Linked DNA regions of Oryctolagus cuniculus. The protein of the gene in region 2 purifies or fractionates together with the protein of the main gene of each other region. This does not show direct contact. Links are inferred from orthologs where the notes say so. Each region holds a gene or a part of one and is shown on either strand. Other genes may lie near its edges.

Evidence for each region. The genes of interacting proteins can lie anywhere in the genome.
Region 1: the proteins of EPS15L1 (region 2) and AP2S1 purify together in Homo sapiens (affinity purification with mass spectrometry; 4 studies listed by BioGRID and IntAct, counting the BioPlex papers as one, with this or other methods). This does not show direct contact. The link is inferred for Oryctolagus cuniculus from reciprocal best matches to the Homo sapiens genes EPS15L1 and AP2S1.
Region 3: the proteins of EPS15L1 (region 2) and ITSN2 purify together in Homo sapiens (affinity purification with mass spectrometry; 5 studies listed by BioGRID and IntAct, with this or other methods). This does not show direct contact. The link is inferred for Oryctolagus cuniculus from reciprocal best matches to the Homo sapiens genes EPS15L1 and ITSN2.

The regions. Positions count from the first base shown.
Region 1 is NC_091449.1:10,581,137-10,585,781, reverse strand, and holds the start of AP2S1 (AP-2 complex subunit sigma), read right to left. Parts: upstream 3,154-4,645; 5' UTR 2,843-3,153; coding exon 2,840-2,842; intron 2,707-2,839; exon of another isoform or gene 2,655-2,706; intron 1-2,654. UniProt on the Homo sapiens protein: Component of the adaptor protein complex 2 (AP-2). Adaptor protein complexes function in protein transport via transport vesicles in different membrane traffic pathways.
Region 2 is NC_091447.1:64,794,127-64,798,202, forward strand, and holds part of EPS15L1 (epidermal growth factor receptor substrate 15-like 1), read right to left. Parts: intron 3,545-4,076; coding exon 3,339-3,544; exon of another isoform or gene 3,068-3,338; intron 1-3,067.
Region 3 is NC_091433.1:178,232,748-178,237,429, forward strand, and holds the start of ITSN2 (intersectin-2), read left to right. Parts: upstream 1-1,529; 5' UTR 1,530-1,645; exon of another isoform or gene 1,646-2,717; intron 2,718-4,682.

The DNA.
Region 1 (4,645 bases), on a different chromosome or scaffold from region 2:
CTGTACCAGCCGCAGCGGCCATTGGAGGGTGAACCAATGGCAAAAGAAGACCTTTCTCTCTGTCTCTCTCTCTCACTGTTCACTCTGCCTATAAAAAAATTAAAAAAAAAATGTGTTTTGTATCAACAAAAACTTATCTTTTAGATCCACTTCCCACGCCCTTTGTGAAATCCCCTTGTCTACGTCAGCGGCCAGCACGGAGCCCGGCATGTACCGGGGCTGGCAGCAGTCGCAGCTGGGAAGTCCATTCCTAGGGCTCTGGGCAGCCAGGTCGACCCCAGAGTGCCCTCGCCACCCACGAGGCCTGCCACCAGCTGGCGAACGGCACAAACTCTGGGGCCAGAATCCTGGCACGGCCAGTGACCGGCTATGTGGGCCTTGGCTTCCCAATCTCACGCAGGTAATGAGAGGGCGGCCCCCATGGGCTCACATGCCAGGTCAGAGAGAAGGCAGGGGTGTGACACGGGGGTACTTCAAAAGCTCCATGTGGAATCGAATCAAAAGCTAAGCTCTGGGGTGTGTGGCCTTGGGACCCCGTATCCTATCCTGCAATGCCTGGGGGCGGGTTCTCACTGCTTCCTGGGAGGCAGCCAGTAATGGCCCCTGCCACCAACGTGGGAGGCCTTGGCCCAGCCCAGCCCTGGCTGTTGCAGCCATTTGGGGAGTGACTGGTGCATGGCAGCCCTGTGTCTGTCTGTCCATCTGCTCTCTTGCTCTGACTCTGAATTTTTTTTTTAAGATACGTTTATTGCCGGCGCCGCGGCTCACTAGGCTAATCCTCCGCCTAGCGGCGCCGGCACACCGGGTTCTAGTCCCGGTTGGGGCGCAGGATTCTGTCCCGGTTGCCCCTCTTCCAGGCCAGCTCTGCTGTGGCCAGGGAGTGCAGTGGAGGATGGCCCAGGTGCTTGGGCCCTGCACCCCATGGGAGACCAGGAGAAGCACCTGGCTCCTGGCTCCTGCCATCGGATCAGCGCGGTGCGCCGGCCGCAGCGCGCCGGCCGCGGCGGCCATTGGAGGGTGAACCAACGGCAAAGGAAGACCTTTCTCTCTGTGTCTCTCTCACTGTCCACTCTGCCTGTCAAAAAAAAAAAAAAAAAAAAAAAAAGATACGTTTATTTTGGCACAAAAAAATTGAAATCCGTGCATATAAGGGGTCTTCAGAAAGTTCACCAAGAATGTGTATGTTGGAAAAAACTATAGGATTTCCAATCATTTTTTTTTGGCAACAACAACATTAACTTCTCTTTTAAGTCCATTTTCCCATAAGCCTTTTCTTTTTTTCCTTTTTTTAAGTTAAGAAGAAGGGAAGAGCGTGAGCGAGGGAGCCCCCATCGCCCATCCGCTGGCAAACTGCAGACGCCCACCACGTCTGAGACCAGGCCAGCCCAAAGCCGGGAGCTGGGGCCTCCATCCAGGGGCCCAGTCACTGCTGCCTCCCAGGTGCGCACCAGCAGGCAGCTGGGGCCGGGAGCGGAGCCAGGCGTTGAACCCAGGTCGTGAGCACCTTAGCTGCCAGGCCAGACGGCTGCCTCCCCCAGGCACAGCACCAGGTGTGTGCCAGCTCTCCATAGCTTTATAATTACGATGCGACGTTGGGAAAGCCATGGCCTTAGCTCCCCCCGCTGGGAAGCCTGGCTCTGGGTCCGCGCTGGCTGGGAGAACAGGGAAGCCTAAGGACTCCAAGGCTCAGGAGTCCAAAGCCCCCGCCCAAACTCCACAGGGAGTCCACTTTCTTTCCCAAACCTCCTTGCCCCCTCCCCCAAGCCCGACAGGAAGAGGAAGTGACACTGGCCTTCCAAGAACTCCATCTGCTGAGCCAGGGAAAACCACTTCCCAGCAGGGCAGGGGGTCCTGGGCAGGAAGGGAAGGGGGTGGGAAAGACCCAAGCCAGGCAGCCAGCGGGGAGCCAGACCGGCCTGCAGGGTTGCCGGACAGCTCGGCCACCACCTTCCAAATCCCCAGGCCCCCAGACCCCCCCCCCCAGCTGCTCCCCTTTGATCTCCGCTCTCTCTGGCCTGGGGGTCCGGGGGCATCACAGCAACTCCAGGAGCGCCGCCCTTTGTTCCAAGGGTCACTATCTCTGTTCTTACGCCCTCCCCCATTCGTGCCCTTTGCTGAGTCTCCGACCAAAGCAGCCCTGCTTGGTTCCAAAGCCCCACCCTGGGAGAAGGGCGCCCCCAAATCCAAAGCTCAGTCCTTGCCCCCAAGAGCCCCCTCCCCAAATCTCACACTTCCAAGCCTCCCTCCCAGCCCCCAAGCGCTCGCGCGCGCGCGCGCTCTCTCTCCCTCTCGCTCCCCATTCATTTGGAGTATCGGCCCCCACTCCGAGCCCTCCGCCCCGACCCTAAAACCTCCAGACTTCCGGTCTGCAGCGCTCAGCCTGCTCTCCCTCACCCGCAGGATCTCGTCCCGCTGCCGATACCCCCCCGCCACACACTGCCAGGCTAGCTCCTCGCCCCTGGCGACCGCCCCATCGGAGGGCCCTCCGGCCCGCGGCCCCAGGCCTCCCGTCCTCCTCCTTCGCCCCCTCCCCACCTACTACCTTCACGAGTTGCTTCCGTTTCGGAAGCCCCCAACCCCCTCCAATGCCTCCCACCGCACAGCTCCCCCCGCCCCCGCTGGCATCCCGGCCCCCTGTCCCCTCGGCTCGAGACCTCGGAGCATCCACGAGCGCAGATTCAAGGCCCCCTTGGCCGCCTTCTTGGCCCCAATCCCGAGAGCCCGCGCCCGACCCAGACCGTCCGCGGCACGAGAGGGACTGTCAGCACCAGGACGAGCCCCGGCTGTTGACACCTGCACCCCGCTCCGCCCGTCCCCACCGCGGGCGCGCCCCCGTTACCATGGCGACCCCTGACTGGACCCCAGCGGCCCAGGTCCCGCGGCGACTGGGCGGCTCCGGCTCCGGCTCCGGCTGCAGTCGGGGGGCCTAGCGCCAGAGCGGACTTCCGGCAGGAGGACCCGCCTGCCCTCCCGCGCACTGCCCTCCCACGCACAGCCCTCTGGGACTTGAAGTCCCACGAATGGGACGGCTCTCCCGCGCGGCAAGCTGGGGGAAAGTGTCCGGTCGGCTTCCCGGCAGGCTGCGCGATTGTCCTTTTCCTACAAACGATTCAGGGCCCAAGTGCACGTTGGGAATTGTGGGAGGAAAGTCTCGCTAGAGGACTACAATTCCCGACATGCATGAGAGCCGGCGGCCGTTGCATTCTGGGAAATGTAGTTCTGGCAGCCTCTCCTACTCAATCCCGACCCCGCGGGGAGAACTGCATCCTGGGAATAGTAGTTTTTAAATAAGAAACTATACTGGGTTGCTAGAAATGGGCTTGGCTTAAAACACGTTCAAAAAAGATACTCGCGAGCCGGCGCCGTGGCTCAATAGGCTAATCCTCCACCTTGCGGGGCCGGCACACCGGGTTCTAGTCCCGGTTGGGGCGCCGGATTCTGTCCCGGTTGCCCCTCTTCCAGGCCAGCTCTCTGCTATGGCCAGAGAGTGCAGTGGAGGATGGCCCAGGTGCTTGGGCCCTGCACCCCATGGGAGACCAGGAAAAGCACCTGGATCCTGGCTCCTGCCTTCGGATCAGCACGGTGCGCCGGCGGCAGCGGCGGCCATTGGAGGGTGAACCAACGGCAAAAGGAAGACCTTTCTCTCTCTGTCTCTCTCTCTCACTGTCCACTCTGCCTGTCAAAAATTAAAAAAAAAAAAAAGATAAAAAAAAAAAAGATACTCGCATCCCACATGGAGCGCATGAGTTCAGTATTAAAAAAAAAATTAAAAAAGGTGAGCCTGAATTTGAGAGTCAGACTGTGTGAGGTTGGATCAGTGAATACGTCCTGGGGCAAGGTGCAAGTGTGTAGAGAGGAGTGAGTCGTGTGACCAGCGATCCAGTGAGCAACAGGGACAAACTGTCCGCCCTACACACAGCGACGCAGGTGGACACACAGCGAGGGACGAAACAGCCATGAGCTGGAGCACGAACTCCACGATTCCATTATGTAAAGTGCAAAAACAGGCAAAACGAACCTGCAGGTGGGTGGGGCCGGATGAGCGAGTGGGAGAGGGACCGGTGGCCCTGACAGGTTGGTGTCGCTGTGTTTCTTTATCTTTATCTCGGTGCTGTTCTCCGTGAATTCCCATGAGGCTGTGCCCTTGCAATGTGGGCACTTCTTGGTGTGTGTTATATTTGAATCTGAGTTTTGTAAAACCATGGGGTGAGTGTACAGGTAAGCTGCTGCTTAGGATGCCCACATCCCACATTGGAGTTCTTGGGTCCCAATCCTGGTTCTGCCGCCAATCCACTTTCCTGCTGGGAAGCAGTAGGTGACGACTCAAATAGTTCAGTTCCTGCCACTCCCCTGTAGCTCCAGGTTTTGGCCAGACCCAGTCCTGGCTGTTGTGGGGATTTGGGGACTGAATCGTTCAAATAATTTTTTTTAAGGATTTATTTTATTTATTTGAAAGAGTTACAGAGGCGGGAGGGGGGGAGAGGTCTTCCATCTGCTGGTTCACTCCCCAATTGGCCGCTACGGCTGGAGCTGCGCCGATCCGAAGCCAGGATCCAGGAGCCTCCTCCAGGTCTCCCACGTAGATGCACGGGCCCAAGGACCTGGGCCATCTTCTACTGCTTTCCCAGAACATAGCAGAGAGCTA
Region 2 (4,076 bases):
GTAGGGAAGGGTGCACACAGCACCCGTCTCAGACACAGAGCATGGCGTCCCTCATTCAGCTGGGGACACTGGGGTGGGGTGGGGGAGGCCCTTATACACAAGCTGCGCCCAGGGCCTGGGCCCGGTGCCCAACCTTGGGGCCACGGGGTGGGGTGGGGTCTTCCCGTCCAGACCTCTGCAAGGGGCTTGGGGGCCCCCGTGGGGGAAGACAAGACTTCCCTTTGGGGAGCACTCCATGGTGGGGGGGGAAGGGTGACCAGCTTGGTGGCTGGTGGGGGGTGAGGGGTGACAGATGGCGGGCTGTGCCAGGTGTGGCTGACGCGGTGGTGAGGCGACAGCCGGGCCCGCGGGGACTTGCCCTCTGCCAGCCCACAGCCCACGGAGGCTGCCTGAACCTGCTTCAAAGCAAAGCCCGGAGTGGCCTCGGCTCGCTGGACCCAAGTCCCGGTGGCCCCAGCGGCCCCGGCCTCTACTTCCAGCTGAACGTGCTGGCGGGGAAGACCCAGGCGCCTTCAGAGTCCTGGGTTCGAGGCCGGCGCGGGAATCCCGTGCGGAGACTTGCAGTAGGTAGGCTGGGTCGGCGTGGCAGCAGGGACAAGCTTGGGCCGTCTCTCCATCGAGGACCAGGGCCTTTCCCAGCCCTGGGTGACCGCCTTCCGCTGGGCTCCCCAGTGGGGCGGTACCCGGCAAGGCAGTCTGGCGCCAGCGCTGGATTCCGCTTCCCTCTTGCACCATGGAGGGGCTGAGACAGCAGCGGCGACGGGGACACGCTGCCCTTCCCACGCTGTGGGGGGGCACTCAGGACAGTGGCTCTGTTTCCACGGCCTCTTACAAGTCCACGGTCGCCGGGGGTCCTCAATGGCAGCCCAGCAGCCTTAGCTCACAGTGGGAGCAGACCTGGTGGGCACGGCACGCCTCGCTCACTGGCCCACCCGGCCTGAACCGCATCCTTCCTGCCCATGCCGCTGGCACAGCTCAGCCGACGCGCTGCCCTTACTGTGGGCGCCCGGGGGTGGGGTGGGGTAGGGGCAGAGACCCTACAGACGCTACTTCCTAACAGACACAGTCGTCCGAGACAGCAACTGGAGACACGCCACGGAAAGCGACCAGCACAAAGAACCCAGGGATTGCAGATGCCAGCATCTCCGACCAGGCCCCTTGCACCGCCCCCTCCCCGCTCAGCACATCAGATCAGATGCCGGTCCACGGGGCAGGGGGCTCGGGCCTTTTCTGACTTAGTGCAAGTGTTTGTGATCCACTGCCCCACCCCCGCCCCGCCCCTTGAAGATAGCAGGGAGGGGGGAGATGCAGGACAGCTTAGCTGCAGCCCTGCGGGGGTGACCACAGCTCACAGCCACCCCGTGGCTTCCAGGAAATCAACTTCCCCATTGCAGACGTGGTGGAGAACGGGCCCCAAGCGTAAGGAAAAGGAAAAGCTACGGAGGCAGAGGCAAGCGTGCACGCATGTGTGAGGCTGCCACACGAGCCGCTGTGAATCATTCCGTGTTCATGGAAAACAAAACAAACAACCAGAAACGTTAGCCCAAAACTGCTCGCTTGAAACCTGGGGTGTTTCGAAAAAGAAATTTTTTTGGGGGGGTTCAAAAAAAAACCAAGTCCTTTCAAGGTAAGATCACAGGAAGCAGCTTCGCGTGCCAGGAAGCTAACAGTCATTTCTCCAAGCTGATTCCACTCGCCCGGCTCCCGCCGACCCAGACACGCGACCCTGGCCACGCCTGACAGCTCTGCTCTTCTCGTTGGTGTTTAAGTTTCCCACCAGGAAAGAAACCCAGTGCCCATCCAAGAGGTTCACTGGCTAAAGCGGGTTTTGTTCCTGGCTCTTACGACACAGCCGTGCACCCAACTAAGTGCAGTGGCGACAAGGTCACAGGTCCCCCAAGCCCAGGGCTGGATCAGGGTGTGTGCGCTGACACGCAGTGTCACCACGGATATCCTAGGAGTTGGAGGCTCTGCAAAGAAGACAGCTCACGTCTAAACGTGCATTGGGGGCCAGCGGGTAAAGCCGCCCACTGCCAGTGCCCACATCCCAGATCCAGCTCCCTGCTGTGGCCTGGGAAAGCAGTGGGAAATGGCCCAAGTGCTTGGGCCCCTGCACCACGTGGGAGACCCGGATGAAGCTTCTGGCTTCAGCCTGGCCCAGCCCCGGTCATTGCGGCCATTTGGGGTGTGACCCAGTGGAAGATTTCTCTGTCTCCCTTCCCACCCCCTCTGCCTTTCAAATAAATTTTAAAAAATCTTTAAAAAAGAAAGAAATGATGGAGTCAGGATTAAGGGGCCACCTGGTACCCCTGCGCACCATATGGGAGTGTCAGCTTCAAGCCCTGGCTACTCAGTGAATCCCATCCAGCTCCTGGCCGATGCACAGCCCGGGAGGCAGCAGGTGACAGCCCAAGTGGCTGGGGCCCAGCCAGCCACGTGGGGGGACCCGGCTGGAGCTCCTGGCTTCATCCTGGCCCAGCCCTGGTTGTTGTGGGCATTGGGGGACTAACCCAGCGGTGCAAGCTCTCTCTCCATCACTCCTTCAAATACATTTGAAAACAGGGTGGGGGGACACGCACACCTGGCACAGCGAGCCCGGGAGGCCAGCAGCGGCGGCTCTCAGAGCAGGAGAACCGGGCGTGCGGAAGAGGGTGGCCTTGTCCAGCTGCAAGTCCCCGTCCCGCCCCCCACGCGGACGACAAAGCCAGACTTGGGCGCAACTTCTGCAAAGGCGCTCCTCTCGCTACGCGGCTCTTCCCGGCTTGTTGTTGCTTGTTTGCTTTCGGCAGAAGAGGAAGGCGTTCCGAGCACTTGTTCTAGATTAGATATCTTTCGCCACTGTTGCTGGTCATTGCAATCAAGGAGGGTTTCGTCGCTGTGCACAAATCCAGCGGTCCTTCCCCGGGCCGGTGGGGGCGGGGCGCAGGGCAGCCAGCGGTGCGGCCGACTTGGTTGCATCCTTCGGCAGTGCTGGACATCCTGGCCTCCGGGCGGGATCGGAGCACGCACCGGCCCCTCGCACGCGTGCAGCCGCGAGAAAACACTGCCCTTTGCCATACGCCCACACTGCGGCTTTTTTCTTTTCTTTTTTTTTTTTATTGCAAAACCTTTCCTTACACAAGTGGCAGGTACAGAATAAATAACACGAGTGACAGCTCGCATGAGGAACGGAGAAGACGCGAATGAGCCGGGGGAGGAGTGCGGCTAGGGGTGAAGGGGGGTTGCCGTCGGAGAGGGACCAAAAAAAAAAAAAAAAACAAAAAACAAACAAACACGACCCCCAAGAAGCTGCAAGCGGAGGGCAGGAGGGGTGGCACGGAGGTGGGGGCTCAACTTACAGAACTGAAGTCTGCAAAGCCCGAGGAGGAGGCCTTGGGAGCCTTAGCTGCAGAGGAGGGGACAAACGGGTCTTTTCCACTAAACGGGTCCCCAAAGCCCTGCTTATTTTGGAACGGGTCGCCGCCGTCAGCCCCGAGTGGCTGGAACGGATCGGGGGCCTCGGGGAAGTCTGCAGAGCCGAGCTGGCTTACAGGTGTGCTTTTACCTGGAAAGTTCAGGAGAGAGGGAGAGAGAGAGAGACAAGAAGAGAAGAGAGAAAAAGGAGAAACAAAACAAAACAAAACAAAAAAGAAACACAAGTTACTCACAGCAGGCAGGCAGGAGCTGAGGGGCCTCTGCCTCTCCGGGGAGAGCGTGGGGTGTTGGGGGAGGATGGCGTGTGTTCCCGGGGGGCTTCCCAGGTTAAGAGCCACACGAGAAGACACACACACACAGTCACAAGCAAGCCGGTTAGTGGTACAGGCCCGGGACAGGAGGCGCGGCTCCGATATCACACAGCACAGTGCAGCACTGAGGGGGACACTCGCGGGGTACTTCCGAGCAGTCCCCAGCCCAGAGAAACACCAGGTGCGCAGGCTGAGGGACAGGCCAGCGACCCTGACCCGATCGTCACACAGGACTCAAAGGGCAGGGTTTGAGTGGGCGTTGGCCAAGCAGGCGACACCAGGCTGCCTGGATCCCAGTAAGGCACAGCTGGCCAGGGAGGCGGGAGAGAGGGGCTTCTGGCTGTGTGAGAC
Region 3 (4,682 bases), on a different chromosome or scaffold from region 2:
CCTCGTATCCTATACAAAAGACAACTCCCAGCATGGAGAGCAGAATTCTTCCTCTTGAGGTAGCCTACAGTCACACCTGAGTGTGTACCATCCCTTTGCTTTTTTTTTTTTTTTTTTTTTTTTGACAGGCAGGTTACACAGTGAGAGAGACAGAGAGAGAAAGGTCTTCCTTTTCTGTTGGTTCACCCCCCAATGGCCGCTGTGGCTGGCGTGCTGCGCCAATCCGAAGCCAGGAGCCAGGTGCCTCTCCTGGTCTCCTATGGGGTGCAGGGCCCAAGGACCTGGGCCATCCTCCACTGCACTCCCAGGCCACAGCAGAGAGCTGGCCTGGAAGAGGGGCAACCGGGACAGAATCCGGCGCCCCGACCGGGACTAGAACCTGCTGTGCCGGCGCCGCAAGGCGGAGGATTAGCCTAGTGAGCTGCGGTGCTGGCTCACAGTTGTATTCTTACACACGGGAAGACAAGAAGCTGGACTAAGTCTAGCGAGGGGATCTCTTTGAGCCCAGTGGGGACTCTAGATCCCCAAACATAATTTGGGGTTCCTAAACCCACAACAGTTTTACAGATGGGGACAGACTGGCTGGCTCAGCAAGTAAGAGAACTCTTAGGCTGATACCAAGAAGTCAGGGCTGTGTGTCAGTGAAGCTCAGGACATGTCTGTCAGGTCTTCGTCAGGGCCTGATTGAAGAGTCAGGAACCAGGGTGAGAGCGGGAAAAGCCTGTTTATAATAACTGACGTTTGCTAAATTCCTCACCTGAGCTGGCTGGCTGGTTCAGGAAGGGCTGGACTTTGCAGCATCCCTCTCAAGTCAACACTGCCCTTTTCATCTGCCCCGACAGATGAAGGCAAGAAAGCCATAGGACCAGTCGATCTGCCCAGATTTCCCCCGTGCCAACAGTCATCGGGGATTTGAGTTTTCTACCTAGATCAGCATCCAACCTGCTTCTTAAAGCTAACAGAACACCTTGGCTCTTAGATGCCGATTTTGTTTTGTTCATTAGGAACCACTGATCCCTACCTTACCCCAACCACACAGAGGCCTTTCCTTTCCTACTCCCCTGAAGGAGTGCTGAGTCAAGAGCAAGCCCTTGTCCATAGTGGTGACTTGAGTTGAAATCTGTACTCTCCTAAACAGACCAGGAGCTGGAGGGGAAGACACAGAAGAAATTCAAGTTTGAGCTTCACCAGTTGGTTGGCTCTGGGATGGGCCTGAATGCTTAGCTCTGAGGGCAGGGGCCATGCAGGGGAGGTGGTCTTCTTACTGTTGGGTCAAAGTGGACGGTAGGTTGCTGTGTGTGTGAACAGGGGTGGCAGGTGCTCCTTAGTAGCCATATCTATGTGTTAGGGATAAGGGTGAGGAATGGTGAACGAATGACCCTTGGGTATGGTTAAGGCCGGGACAGCGCCTGAGAAAGGTCCATGAGGCCTGTAGCAGATCCATGAGCAAGGGTAGAAACACCCTCCTTCCCACCCGCGCTCTCCAAACCCCAGGAAATTCTTGCTCCCCCACCCCATCAGCGAGGAGAAGATTCTAGAGCCAGCCTCGTGTGGGGCGCAAAAGAGAAGTGCTAGATGCGGGCGCCGCTTGGTGCTTTCCAAAAGCACCACCCCACTTCGGCATGTCACCTCTGGGAGGAGTCAGGTGGGTCGTCGCAGCTCCAAGACTGCCTGCCGGGTCCGGAGCGTCGGCCTCCCCGAGGGCCGAGAGGAGCGCTTCGGAGTAAGCCCATGGGGTCCGGGGTCCCGGGGATCCCGGGGTGAGCGGCCGCGCCCGGGCAGCTTCGGGCTCCCGAGGGTGGGAGTAGGTGCCCGGCGGGCGGGCCGTCAGCTGCCCGGCCCGTCGCCTGCCTCCCCGCCCCCCGGCTTCCTGCGGAGGCCGCGGCCGCCATGTTGTTGTGGGGCTGAGGCGGCGCCGGCAGAGGCGAGAGCCCTTGACAGGCTGCGCAACAGGTTCGCCGGCGGCCGCCTGACGACCGACGCGGCGGCGGCGGCGGCGGCGGCCGAGCAGGGTCTCCCGCACCCGTCCGCGCGCGCGCGCTGCGGGTGCCGAGGAGCGCGGGGTCGCGCCGTGACGTGCGGGAGGCGCGGCGCCAGGTGGGTGAGAGCCGCTCGGCTCGCCGGGGCTGCCGCAGGGCGCGGGGCAGGTGCGGGTGCTGCTGCCGCGCCGCGCCCGCCGCCCAGAGGCTCTGAGGGCCGGGCTGAGGCAGCTGTGCGCCCCGGACGACGGGGACGGGTCCTCGGGAGCCCCTGCGGCCCCCGGGCTAGGCCCCTGGCGGGCTTGGCCGCGCCGGGCGGAAACCTCCGGCCCCGGGTTCCTGCCCCCGCGGCGGGGCCGGGGCGGACGCGGCGGGGCCGGGGACCTGGCCGGCTCTTCCCTGCTGCGGAGCGTGGGCCCCTGACCGCGGCCTCGTCTGGCAGGTGGCGGGGGCGGCGTGGCCCCCTGGCTTCGGGAGTGCGGGCCGAAGAGAGCCCTGGGCGCACCGCACGCTTCTTCGGGGCCCCATTTTATTTGGGCGGAGTTGGTTTTTTCCCTCTTGGTCATGGCTGGTGCGGAATGTCAGGTGAGCCGCATCCCGGTGCGTCAAAGTGGCCCCAGTCGCGAGAGGACTGTGGGCGGATCTGGGCGTCCACGGCTCGCGTTAAGCCAAAGTTGGGAAATGCTGAAATGCGACTTAGGCGTTGTTGAATTCCAGGTATACAGCAGGCACGGCGAGGTAGCGTCTCTGAGACCAGAGTAAAGTTTATTGCTTATTAAAAAAAAAAAAAAAAAGGGCTACATGTGCAGATTGGGTAAACTGAGGCTAAAACTGCAGCTCTATTTGGATTTTTTAGTCATGCACTTTGTCGCTGAATGATTGCCGATGGCAAGTATGCTCCATTTGAAACTTGTGTTAGTAGAGAATTAGGAATGTTTTTTGATAGAACCAGCCACTTTGCCGTAGGCATGAAGGCATTCCTACAGAAATGACTGCCTAGTTTATCTCGTCAGTGTTGTTGCTTACCTAGAGGCAGGCAAGATGTGACTTGAGATTTTGTGTTGTTGGTCAGCTTAATTTAGGCAGCACTGACTGTAGGTTAAGCTTCCTAAGCCTTTCAAGAAAATTAAATGCCTCCCTCCCTGTGCGGATTTGCAATATTGTTAATCAGTGATAAAGCTAAAAGCAACCCAGAAATGTCACATAGAAATCTTTTCGTGAATTAATGATAGTGCCCCTCAAAACTTACAAATAGTAGCAACTCTGACGTGCCCACATTTAAGTTTATTGGTTGTGGCTGTTATTCCCTTATAATTTCAAAAGTAAATAAATTGGAAATATGTTTGTGAAGGATCTTGGAAAATGTGTATTGTTGTGGTTTTGATACAACATTAATATGTAATCAAAAAGCTTTTTTAACCCTTTAATGGATTAATAATTGTTCTTTTTGCTTGCCTTTATAATAAGAAGTAGACTGGTCTGAGAAAACTTGACCTGTATTGAATTATTGAACGGGGAGGAACTGTTGTTAGTTTCACACATCTCAATGGGAAAATTCTGGTCTTTCCTGAAAATGAGGTAATGTGTTCACATTCTGGGAGTTAGATTTATAGTTTTTTTTTTTTAACTATATTTGCACAAAAACAGAATGGTATACACCCACCACCCAAACTCAGCAGCTTTCAAGATTTTCATTAGCCATCTTTTTTTTTCTGATTTTATTTTTTTAAAGATTTATTTATTTATTTGAAAGGCAGAGTTACAGAGAGGCAGAGACAGAGATAGAAATAGAGAGAGGTCTTCGATCTGCTGGTTCACTCCCCAGTTGGCTGCAACAGCTGGAGCTGCGCTGATCCGAAGCCAGGAGCCAGAGCATCTTCTGGGTTTCCCATGTGGGTGCAGGGGCCCAAGAACTTGGACCATCCTCTACTGCTTTCCCAGGCCATAGCAGAGAGCTGGATCGGAAGTGGAGCAGCTGGGACTGGAACTGGCACTCACATGGGATGCCAGCACTGCAGGCCACGGCTTTACCTGCTTTGCCATGTGCCGGCCCCATCTTTCCTGATTTTATATCTTAGTCATTTTATCCTATACAGTTAGTATAGCTTTTTTTTTTTAAAGGTTTATTTATTTATTTGGAAAGTAGAGTTATAGAGAGAGAGGGAGACACAGAGTGAGAGATCTTCCATCCTCTGGTTCATTCCTCAGATGACTGCAACAGTCAAGGTTGGGCCAGGCCAAAGCCAGGAGTTTCATCCAGATCTCCTATGTGGGTGGCAGGGGCCCAGATACTGGGTCATATTCTGCTGCTTTTCCTAGGCCATTAGCAGGGCACTGGATGGGAAGTAGGGCAGCTGGGACATGAACCAGTGCCCATATGGGATGCTGGTGTCCCCGGTGGCAACTTAACCCGCTATGCCACAATGCCAGCCCCAGTATCTTTCTTTTTTTTTTTTTTTTTTTTGACAGGCAGAGTGGACAGTGAGAGAGAGAGAGAGAGAGACAGAGAGAAAGGTCTTCCTCTACTGTTGGTTCACCCTCCAATGGCCGCCGTGGCCGGCGCGCTGTGGCCGGCGCACCGCGCTGATCCAATGGCAGGAGCCAGGTACTTTACCTGGTCTCCCATGGGGTGCAGGACCCAAGGACTTGGGCCATCCTCCACTGCCTTCCCGGGCCACAGCAGAGAGCTGGCCTGGAAGAGGG